Linked DNA regions of Rattus norvegicus. The protein of the gene in region 3 interacts with the protein of the main gene of each other region in a pairwise test. Links are inferred from orthologs where the notes say so. Each region holds a gene or a part of one and is shown on either strand. Other genes may lie near its edges.

Region 1 (2,317 bases), on a different chromosome or scaffold from region 3:
TGAAACCTCAACACCCACTCCCAGTCATACACCTCCTCCAACAAGGCCACAACTCCTAACGTTTCCAAAGCATTCACAACTGGGGACTAAGCGTGCAAATATGAGTCTATGGTGATCAATCTCATTTAAACTACTGCACCATGGGACAAATAGAATGGAGCTTGAGAAAGGGCCAAGGGAGAAAAATAGGGCTGTGGGGGAGGGGGAGGGGAGCAGAGAGCAGACGGGTATGTTCCGGCCATCAGAGATAAAAGCAAAGGCAGAAAATGAAATGGGAGGAAGTCAGTGGTCTGATTAAGGCATTGGGGAAAAAATGAATTGAGAAGCCATCCTGGTTTGCGAGAAGAGAATCTGTGAAAAGAGTTAAGAGAGAAACAGGCCTTGACATGGGCCAATAACTGAGAATTAGTGTCATCTGTCTTAGAGATGACCCCACAAACGCACGTACTGACACACTGTATGCTGGGCCACCCTGTGTGCTGTCACACTGTGCTCCTCTAATACATGTGCATACCTGTGCTCTCGGCCTCTGCTGGGGAGAAGGAATGGAAGAAGTCTGAACTTCAGACGCAAGAGGCCGACAGGCAGGGGTGGCCTTGCTCAGCGCCACCCTCCTTTTCTCCACCCCTCATCCCTGCTCTCCTCTCTGTCTAGATTCTGTCTTTCCTCCCTCTGGGCCCCCCAGGTTGGGGTGGGAGAGGAGGAGGCTCTGGACCGGGAGAATGGAAGCCACATTCACTGCTGGCTGGCCGGCTGAGAGTGGACAGGACAGAGGCTGGGATTGTGCTTGATGCTTGGCAGCCATGGGAATGCAAAGAGGTGGGCAGGAGCGCCATGGCTTCCTCAGCCAGTCTCACTTCAGGGCCAGTGGTTCCTGGCACAGGATGTTGTGGCCGGAAAACCTAACTACTCAGGAATGCTATGTTCAAATGTCCTCCTTCCATGCCCGACTCACCTCAGGCTGGGAACTCCCTGTACTTGTCTTGAGGACTAGAGCACCCCTACCTGAACACACACTCTCCCTCAGCCCTCCACACTGGGTCCCTTGTACCATTCTGGGGAGCTCTGGTTTTTCTCAGAACCCAGTGACATTTCCTGGGGCTAGTATTAGGAGGTTCAGAGTCTCTGACCACCAGATGTTCCACTTTCTTCTGTCCCTTCGCCTGACACAAGCATACCCTGCCTCCCGGGACAGAACAGTAGGACTCATCTGTCTCAGCCTCAACAGCACCCATGTCCTCGCCCTCTTCCAGTCTCTCACACACTCAGGTCTCTATGTGGCATCTCGTGTTCTGTGACCTTGACTTCCCTGAATAAATTCCCCCCTCTCGTCCCCAGAGCACACTAGACAGCCTGGAGCTGGGGCTCACCTACAACCCTCTGCAAGTTGGGAGCCATCTGTACTCACATCTGAGCAGCGCCCACGCCAAGCCTCAGGGACGGCCCTACACAAGCTGGGCAGGCCGGGGCCTTAGAAAGGTATCTCTCTTGTCCCCGCCTTCCCTTTCCCCTCTCATCCCCTTTGTGCCTTGAGTCCAAGGGATCCCTTCCTATCTACCCCCCACAACAGCCTGGGTCCCAAGAGAGCAACCCACTCCCCACACCCCACAAGTAGAGGGGAAACCAAGCTGAGGCAGGAGAGAGAACCTGCTGAGGCAGTCACACGCGATAGGGTGGGTCTGCTGGTCTGCTGGGTCTGCTGGGTCTGCTGGTTTTGGTTTTGGTTCTTTTATTTTCCTGAGACAACTGGTCTCATGGTGTAGCAGTGTAGCCCAAACTGATCCGGAGTTTGCCATTTGCCTGCTTCAGCCTCCTGATTGTGTGTGTGTGTGTGTGTGTGTGTGTGTGTGTGTGTGTGTGTATGTGTGTGGTGTATGTGTATGTGGTGTGTGTGTATGTGGGGGTGTTGTGGGGTGTGTATGTGTGTCTGTGTATGTGGTATATGTGGTATGTGTGTGTATATAGGGTGTGTGTGTGGTGTGTGTAGGTCTGTGTGTGGTATATGTGTGTATGTGGTGTATGTGTAGGTCTGTGTGTGGTGTATGTGTGTATGTGGTGTGGGGGGTGTGTGTATGTGATTTGTATATGGTGTGTGTGGGGTATATGTGGTGTGGTGTGTGTCTGTATTGTGTGGGGTGTGGTGGGGTGAGTGTGTGTGTGTGTGTGTGGTGTATGTGTGTGTGGTGTATGTGTGTGTGGTGTGTGTGTATGTGGGGGTGGTGTGGTGTGTGTGTGTGTGTCTGTATGTGATATATGTGGTGTGCATGTGTGTGTGTGCGTGTGTGTGTATGTGGTGTGAGTGTATATGGTGTGGGGG
Region 2 (3,655 bases), on a different chromosome or scaffold from region 3:
GAGAAGAAGTTAAAACGTTTCAGGGCAAGCCAATCATGGTAAGAAACATTTAAACGCATGCTAGTCTTTCTGGTGGGGGTGATTGTTGTTGGGCTTTTGTTATTGTCCTGTTTCTCTTAGAAGAGTTAAGATACAAGAGCAGGTGTCTTATAAACCTGTCGGAATTTTAAAGCATTTTCTGATTGTCCTACTTCAGAAAATTAATGCACAGAACATGAAAATATTTTGAATACAGAAGTTCTTTACACGGAAACAAAGTTTTAAAAGTGATTCACAGCCTATAATTTCGGATCTCAAAATGTGTAGTAGGAATACTTCTTTAGTGGTGATAAAGACCACTTTGATTTTTCATCCCTGTCTCAGTTGTTGTCCATTTGAGAAGGAATCGCATCAGTAGTACTTCGTGTGCTTACATTTATTTACTTTGTTGTCAGATTTCACGAAATTTGCCTTCCTACTTCTTCCCATCGTTATTCATGGTTTAGATTTGAGCAGATGGTGCAGCCTCATAACCACTGTGATCTCCTGACTCCTCCTTCCTTGTCTCTCACTGCGCATCCTTGCAGTGTAGCACTGCACACACACAAACTAGTTCTTATGAGCAAAGGCAGTCAAGGGGTCACAGCTCCTGTTTGTAACCTCACCGTTGTTCTGGAGGCTGAGTGAGAGAAACAGGCGTTTCAGGTTAGTTATATAGGTAGCTTGAGTTATATATAGTGAGTTTAAGGCAAGACTGGGTGCTTTGGAAAGACCACCTAATGAGACACCTGAGGCTCTTTCCTCCACTTTGCCTACTGAAGAAAATGGCAGTAACCAGCCAAGTTGTGCACGACTGGTGAGTATGTAAAACAGTCAGGATGCAAGTAGCTGGCACTTAAGAGAACTGTAACAGGTACTACTGGAAGAAGAACTTCACATTTAAATCTGTAGTTCCTATGGGGCAGATGATAGTATGAGTTTCCATATTCCAGATGAGTTTCATTTGCTAGTAGTCATCCATCTACCTTTGGTCTTTGTCTTTTGTTTTAAATACTATTCCCTCTGAGACTATGGAGATTCTGTTTCCTTTCTCCTACTGACTTAAAGCTTTATATTTAGGTGTTTGATAAAACATGACTAATTTTGATACACGTGCGCACACATACACGAACGTGTCTGCTTGTTGATGGAGTCGGCCACAGGTCAGAGATGTCCTGGGGGTCTTGTCCTTCTTCCTCCATCTCTGCTTCCTGTGTAACAGCTTTATTGTCCTATTTCATAGTGACTTCTTCCGTATCTTTTTATGAACCAAATAAAGTGGATAGCAGGGGTTTTTTTATTTTTAGTTAAACTTCAAGTTTTTCTTTAGGATTTACTTTTTTTTTTTTCCTTTTTTTTTCCTTTTTTCTTTTTTCTTTTTTTCGGAGCCGGGGACCGAAAGGATTTACTTTTATTATTGACTACAATAATAAAATTTATAGGTGAGTGTGTCTGCATGTGAGTATTTGAGTGTGAGTATAGGTGCCAGCAGAGTAGCAGAGTCCAGGGCACCTGTCTGTTGTTCGCTGTTTCCTATAACCTAATGCCCTCCAGTTTCATGTTATTACAGGTGCTACGATCTCCCTTTGCAGATCTAGAGACCTGAAGAGGAGCAGGATCTTTCTTAACCATTGATCCAACCCAAATTCTCTTATTTTTACTTTGTTTATTGTGGCTCTTCTCATGTCTACACTTTTCTACTGATTAAAGTTATTGTTTTCTTTTGCTCAGTTGATTCTAAGTAGAAATCATAAGATAATATAAAAAAAAAGTTGAATATATTTATTGCAAAATATACTTCATAGTTTATTATTTGTCTTCTTCCTGCTTTTAGGCAAGGATAAAAGCCATCAATACATTTTTTGCTAAGAATGGTTATCGATTAATGGATTCTAGTATGTATACTCAACCCATTCAGACTCCAACCCAGTATCCCTCGCCAGTCTTCATGCAGCCAGTGTACAATCCACATCAGCAGTACTCAGTGTATAGTATTGTGCCCCAGTCTTGGTCTCCAAGTCCTGCACCGTACTTTGAAACACCACTGGTAAGTGAGACTTAGAAAATAATAGAATATTTAGTTCAAGCTACGATTTGAGAAAAAAAATCATCTAAAAGCCAGATGCAGATGTGTTTGCCTGTAATGAGAGCAGCTGCAAGGCAGTGTTAACAGGATCATTAACAGGATCATACAGCAGACTCGTCTGCATAGCAGGTTGCACCACAGCTAGCCAGTTTGTCAACAGAATTTACGCACACAAACAAAACCCAAGAAGTTGGTCTGGTTCATTGATTCTGGATAATTATGACAGCTCTGCACTCAGTATAGACATATTGCTAAGAAGTAGGCTATTAGTGTCTACAATTTGATTCTTTACATTTTGCTAAGCGAATTAAAAAAGAAAATAAATCCTTTGTGATTCATTTATTTATTTATTGAAAGAGAGCCTTACTATGTAGCCCTGACTGTCCTAGAACTCTGTATACCTGGCTTACCTTGAACTCTGAGAGCTGCCTGCCTCTGGAGTGCTGGGACTTAAGGTGTGCTCCAGTGCCGTGTTCCCAGGTGATGGTTACCTAACTCTAGTGCTGTAAGATTCTGTCCTGAGTGTTTTGTCTGTAATGAGTGGTGTGTTGTTACAGTACAGTGAGATGAGCTGTAAGCATTGCAGAAGTGAGAATGCAGAGTTTTCTACTGACTTGTTGACTGTACCTCACTCTGGTTTCTCTCTCAACCCTCTCTGAAATATTTTAACCCTTACCATTAAATATCAACATTTTCTTCTAGGCTCCCTTTCCCAATGGTAGCTTTGTGAATGGCTTTAGTTCACCGGGATCTTATAAAACAAATGCTGCTGCTATGAATATGGGCCGACCATTCCAAAAAAATCGGTAAGATTTAAAAAAAACTAATTGAAATTTATTTTAAACAATTTCCAGTAATTGTTGAGGAATTATTGCATTCTTTTGGGAGACTTGCTATAAGTATTAATTTTTTTTTTTTTTAAGATTTATTTATTTTCTATGAGTACACTGTCGCTCTCTTCAGACTTATTGGAAGAGGGCATCAGGTCCTATTACACATGGTTGTGAGCCACCATGTCATTGCTGGGAATTGAACTCAGGACCTCTGGAAGAGTCTCTTAACCACTGAGCCATTTCTCTACCCACACGTTTGTTAATTTTTACTTTTTAAAAGTGCATGAATTATTCAGTATAGAAGTTTAAAGATGCTTCATGGTCAGAATTAATAATAGATATAAAGGGGTGAGGATTTTAGTGGTTTCTGTCTGGTCTTTTAATTTTTATTTTATTTTGTGAGTACGAGTATTTTGCCTACAGAATGCGTGTGCACCACTTTCATTTCTGTTGCCTGGGTAGTCCAGAAGTTGTTATATCCCCAGAATTGGAGTTACAGGTGATTGTGAACTACTGTGTGTATTCTGAGAGTTGAAAGACAATCAGTACTCTTAACTACTGAGCCATCTTTCCACCCCCAGTTTATTTTTTAATGTGAATTCTGGGGATTAAGTTCAATTCCTCATGCTTAGAAGGCAAGCACTTAACCAACAGAGTTTCCTCTTCAACACATAAAATTTTAAGTACTGATCTTGCAAGTATTTATCTTTAAAAATAA
Region 3 (4,444 bases):
TCCAGCTGCATATATAGCAGAGGATGGCCTTGTTGGGCACCAATGGGAGGAGAAGCCCTTGGTCCTGCCAAAGCTGGATCCCCTGAGTGTAGAGGAATGTCAGAGTGGGGAGGCAGGAAGGGGAGGTGATTGGGGAGAAGGAACACCCTTACACAAGAAGGGGAGGGAGATGGGATAGAGGGCTTATGGATGGGAAACCGAGAGAGGGAATAACATTTGAAATGTAAATAAAAAATATCCAATAAAAAGCAAAACAACGGGCTGGAGAGATGGCTCAGTGGTTAAGAGCACTGACTGCTCTTCCAGAGGTCCTGAGTTCAAATCCCAGCAACCACATGGTGGCTCACAACCATCTGTAATGGGATCTGATGCCCTCTTCTGGTGTCTGAAGACAGCTACAATGTACTCATATATAAAAAGTAAATAAATCGGGGCTGGGGATTTAGCTCAGTGGTAGAGCACTTGCCTAGCAAGCGCAAGGCCCTGGGTTCGGTCCCCAGCTCCGGAAAAAAAAAAAAAGCAAAACAACAACAACAAAACCCAAATCTAAACAAAATAGACACAGAGAGACAGAGTCAGACACACAGAAACACTCAGAGATAAAAAGAGAGGAAGAGAGACAGGGAGGACAAGAACCAGAAGCAGAGTTTCAGAGAGACAGCCAGAGACAAGGATTAGAGTCTAGCAGAGACACAGGTGGAGATTGACAGAGACAGCCAGAGAGAGATTTAGAGACAGAGAGTCTAACAGAGACATAGAAACCCAGGGAGAGGCATAGACAGAGACACAAAGAAACTCTGAGAGACAGGGTCTGAGCTAGTGATGAAGATACAGAGGCAGAGATTAGAGGCAATTGAGAAGATACAAAGAGAGCAGTGGAGAGACTGCAGAGATATAGAGAGATGGAGTTGGAAACTGAGGGAGGGGAGGAAGGAGGGAGAGAGATGGAGAACACAGAGAAAGAGAGCCTGAGGTCAAAAGAAGGAGAACCATCAGGAACTACACATGTGAACTAGTTCACTCATCCAGAGTACAGATCTCTTCCCAGTTATTCTGGCTGTGTCAGGAGATTTACAAGTTCAACGCTAGCGTGGGCCACAAAGAACAACCCGGAAAGCCCTGTGCCTTTCTCTTCCCAGTCTCTCAGGAGCACTGTACACATTTCTCGGTGCTTTTGAAGACATTTCTTTCCAGATAATAGCTGATGCTGGAGGGACACCAGTTAGACCTAAGGAAAGACTTCCCCAGGAGTGGGGACTCCTGGTTGCCGGCAGGAGTTGGGCCTTCCTTCCCTCCCTTCCTCATCAACCCTAATTGCCAAGATGTCACTGTGGGGGTGGTGGCGGTGGATTAAGCAGACGGTGCCCTTCCCCCAGCCAATGTCACCTCCTGTTGCCCAGTCGGTCCCCCACCTTCCCTGGGATTACCCTTCGAGATCCAGGCCACAATAGATGACATCACTCTCAGCTCAGGCTTAAAGTCACCCCATGTGAGGGGACCTATTTCCTCTAGCCTCTGCTGTCTGATGACACCATCCAGGACCTGGGCATCCAGGAGAGCCCCCATTTCTTCTTTCCAAAGGTGAGTCTTTGCAGGAGAGGCTGAGTGGACCAGGAAGAGAGAGAGAGGGGGTGGGTGGGGGAGAGAGAGTGAGAACGAGAGAGCGAGAGAGAGCAAGAGAGCGAGAGAGCGAGAGAGCGAGAGAGAGGAGATTTTATTCTCACTCGTCCATGTTTTCTGGGCTTGGTATAGTTTGACACAAAGATGGATCTGTGATGCTTTCTGAATAAATTAAGGTAGGGTAGAGATTCCAGCAGGTGTTCAGGGAAACAGGCCACTTAGGACCATGGTTGGAGGGAGTTCAGAGGTGGAATGCACACATCCGTGTATGTGAGCATGTTTGTATGTTTGTGTGTGTATGTATGTATGTATGTATGTATGTATGTATGTATGTGTATATGTATGTATGTGTACAGCGTGTGTAAGTGTGTGCGTCCATGTAAGAGAGCATCTGTGGAGGACAGAGATAGACATATTGGGTGTCTTCCTAAATACTTCCCGTTTGCTATTTTTTCCTAGAACTCTCTATGTAGACCAGGCTGGCCTTGATCTGATGGATCTTCCTGACCCTGCCATCCAAGTACTTAAGGTTAAAGGTGTTCACCACCACACTCAGCCTATCTCAGACAATGTCTTTTACTGAACTTGGATCTCCCTTCTGAGCTGAGGCTGGCTGGACAGTGAGCCCTGTGTATCTGTTTGTCCCTGTTTCCCCAGCGCTGGGGTTATAGTGTGCCCAGCTTTTATCTGGATGCTGGGGATCTGAACTCAGATCCTTACATATGCACAGAAGGTGCTTTATGTACTAAGCCATCTCCCCACTCCCCCGCAACCTTTTAAATTTTATTTATTTATTTATTGAGAGGAAGTCTTATGGAGCATCGGGTGGTCTTGAACTTGTTCTGTAATAGAGGCTGGTCCTGAACTCCTGATCTTTGTACACCACTACTCCCACTTGTATTGTCTTTAACTCTTTGGGATTTTTCTTCTCTGTTTGTAAGGATATATATATATATATATATATATATATATATATATATATATATTATATATTATATAATATATACATTATATATCCTGTTGAGGCCAATGTGGCTAATTTCTGTTCAATGCCAGCTCAACATAGTAAACTGGAATTCTTTCTCTAAAGTTGAGAGCAGGGCTAATGTTTCTAAGAACTCAAGTTATAGATGTTGAGTTTTGAAGGGAAACACCAATATTACTAATTTTTTTGCCTCAATGACTGTAGAAACTTTTCTAGGGCCTGTGGTCATCCAAATGAAATTATAGAGACATGTGGCAGGGCATAGTGGTGTATGCCTTCAATCCTAGCATTCAGGAGGTAGAGGCAAGCAGATCTGTCAGCTTGAGGTCAGCCTGATCTACAGAGTAAGTTTTAGGTTAGCTAGGACTTCATAAACTTTATATCAAAGGGAGACCTTGTCTTAAAAAAAAATATGGGGAGTTGGATGGCTCAGTGGTTACGAGTACTGGCTGCTCTTCAGGAGGATTGGGGTTTTGATTCCAAGCACCTACATGGTGGCTCACAGCTGTTTGTAATTACAGTTCCAGGGTACTTTTCTGGCTTCTTCTGATGGTACCAGGTGTGTTTGTGTTCATAGAAATACATGCAGACAAAACACCCATACACATAATATTAAACAAAACACTAACACAATGAAAGTAAAAAAAAAAATCCTAGGAACACCAAAGTTCGATATTACTGCTGCATATTTCTCTCTCTCTCTCTCTCTCTCTCTCTCTCTCTCTTGTCACAGTCTTTTATAGCACATGCTGGCCTTGGATTTGCTATATAGCTGAGGATGACCTTGAACTTTTGATCCTTCTACTTCTACCTACAGAGTCCTAGGATTACAGGTGTGAGACTCATGTTACTGTTTCTTCTCGTGTGTGTGTATGTGTATGTGTGTAATATATGCATGGAAGTGTGTGTATCTATTTGAATATGCCTGCATATTTGGAGGCCAGAGGATAACATCAACGTTTTTTCTTCTATTCCTCCTCTGCCTTATTGCTTTGAGACAAGGTCTCTCAGTGAACTAGGCACAGGGCATTTTGACAAGGCTGGCTGCATAGCTAGCTCTTGAGACCCACCTGTTTCTACCCTTCTTAAGGCTATAGTTCCAGGCATACAAAGCCATGTCTGGCTTTTTACATGGTAGCTACAAATGTAAACACAGGTTCTCATGCTTTTGCACTTAGCACTCTTCTCTACTTAACCATTTCTACCATGCCCACCCCACCTCACTTTTGAGACAAGGGCTCATGTATCCCAGGGTAGCCTCTAACATGATAAGTAGCCTAGAATGTCATTGACCGCCCCCAGCCTCCATCATCTGAATTTTAGAATTACCGGTGTGTGCCACCATACCCAGTTTATGTGATATTGGGGATTGAACCCAGGGGCTTAATACATTCGAGGCAAGTACTGTAACCAGCTGACCTATACCCCAAGCTTCCCATTGTCATTGTTAGACAGAGTGTGCTTATGAATCCCAGGTTGGCTTTGAATTTGGATCAATCCTCCTGCCTCAGGCTATGAGTGGCATATGTGAGCAAGCCTCCACACCCAGATAGAGGGTGAGAAGGAGGGGCTGGAGAGATGGCCCAGTGGTTAAGAACACTGACTGCTTTCCTTGAGGTCCTGAGTTCAATTCCCAGCCATCACATCTGTAATGAGATTTGATGCTCTCTTCTGGTGTGTCTGAAGACAGCTGGCTGCAGTGCACTCCTATACATAAAATAAATAAATTAAAAAACAAAACAAAAAAACAAGAGAGGGAGGGGGAGTCAGCAGACTGTTAGCAGGGTGCTGCTGGTTGAAGATCAGAGAACAACATGCAGGTGTGAGTCCCTCTTTCTA

Evidence for each region.
Region 1: the proteins of Crx (region 3) and M1ap interact in binary tests that used the Homo sapiens proteins (3 or more experiments, as listed by UniProt). The two-hybrid records come from large-scale screens. The link is inferred for Rattus norvegicus from reciprocal best matches to the Homo sapiens genes CRX and M1AP.
Region 2: the proteins of Crx (region 3) and Larp4 interact in binary tests that used the Homo sapiens proteins (3 or more experiments, as listed by UniProt). The two-hybrid records come from large-scale screens. The link is inferred for Rattus norvegicus from reciprocal best matches to the Homo sapiens genes CRX and LARP4.

The regions. Positions count from the first base shown.
Region 1 is NC_086022.1:117,090,617-117,092,933, forward strand, and holds part of M1ap (meiosis 1 arrest protein), read left to right. Parts: intron 1-1,338; coding exon 1,339-1,479; intron 1,480-2,317. UniProt on the Homo sapiens protein: Required for meiosis I progression during spermatogenesis.
Region 2 is NC_086025.1:133,010,674-133,014,328, forward strand, and holds part of Larp4 (la-related protein 4), read left to right. Parts: coding exon 1-38; intron 39-1,852; coding exon 1,853-2,065; intron 2,066-2,806; coding exon 2,807-2,910; intron 2,911-3,655. UniProt on the Homo sapiens protein: RNA binding protein that binds to the poly-A tract of mRNA molecules. Associates with the 40S ribosomal subunit and with polysomes. Plays a role in the regulation of mRNA translation.
Region 3 is NC_086019.1:85,678,926-85,683,369, reverse strand, and holds the start of Crx (cone-rod homeobox protein), read left to right. Parts: upstream 1-1,517; 5' UTR 1,518-1,581; intron 1,582-4,444. UniProt on the Homo sapiens protein: Transcription factor that binds and transactivates the sequence 5'-TAATC[CA]-3' which is found upstream of several photoreceptor-specific genes, including the opsin genes.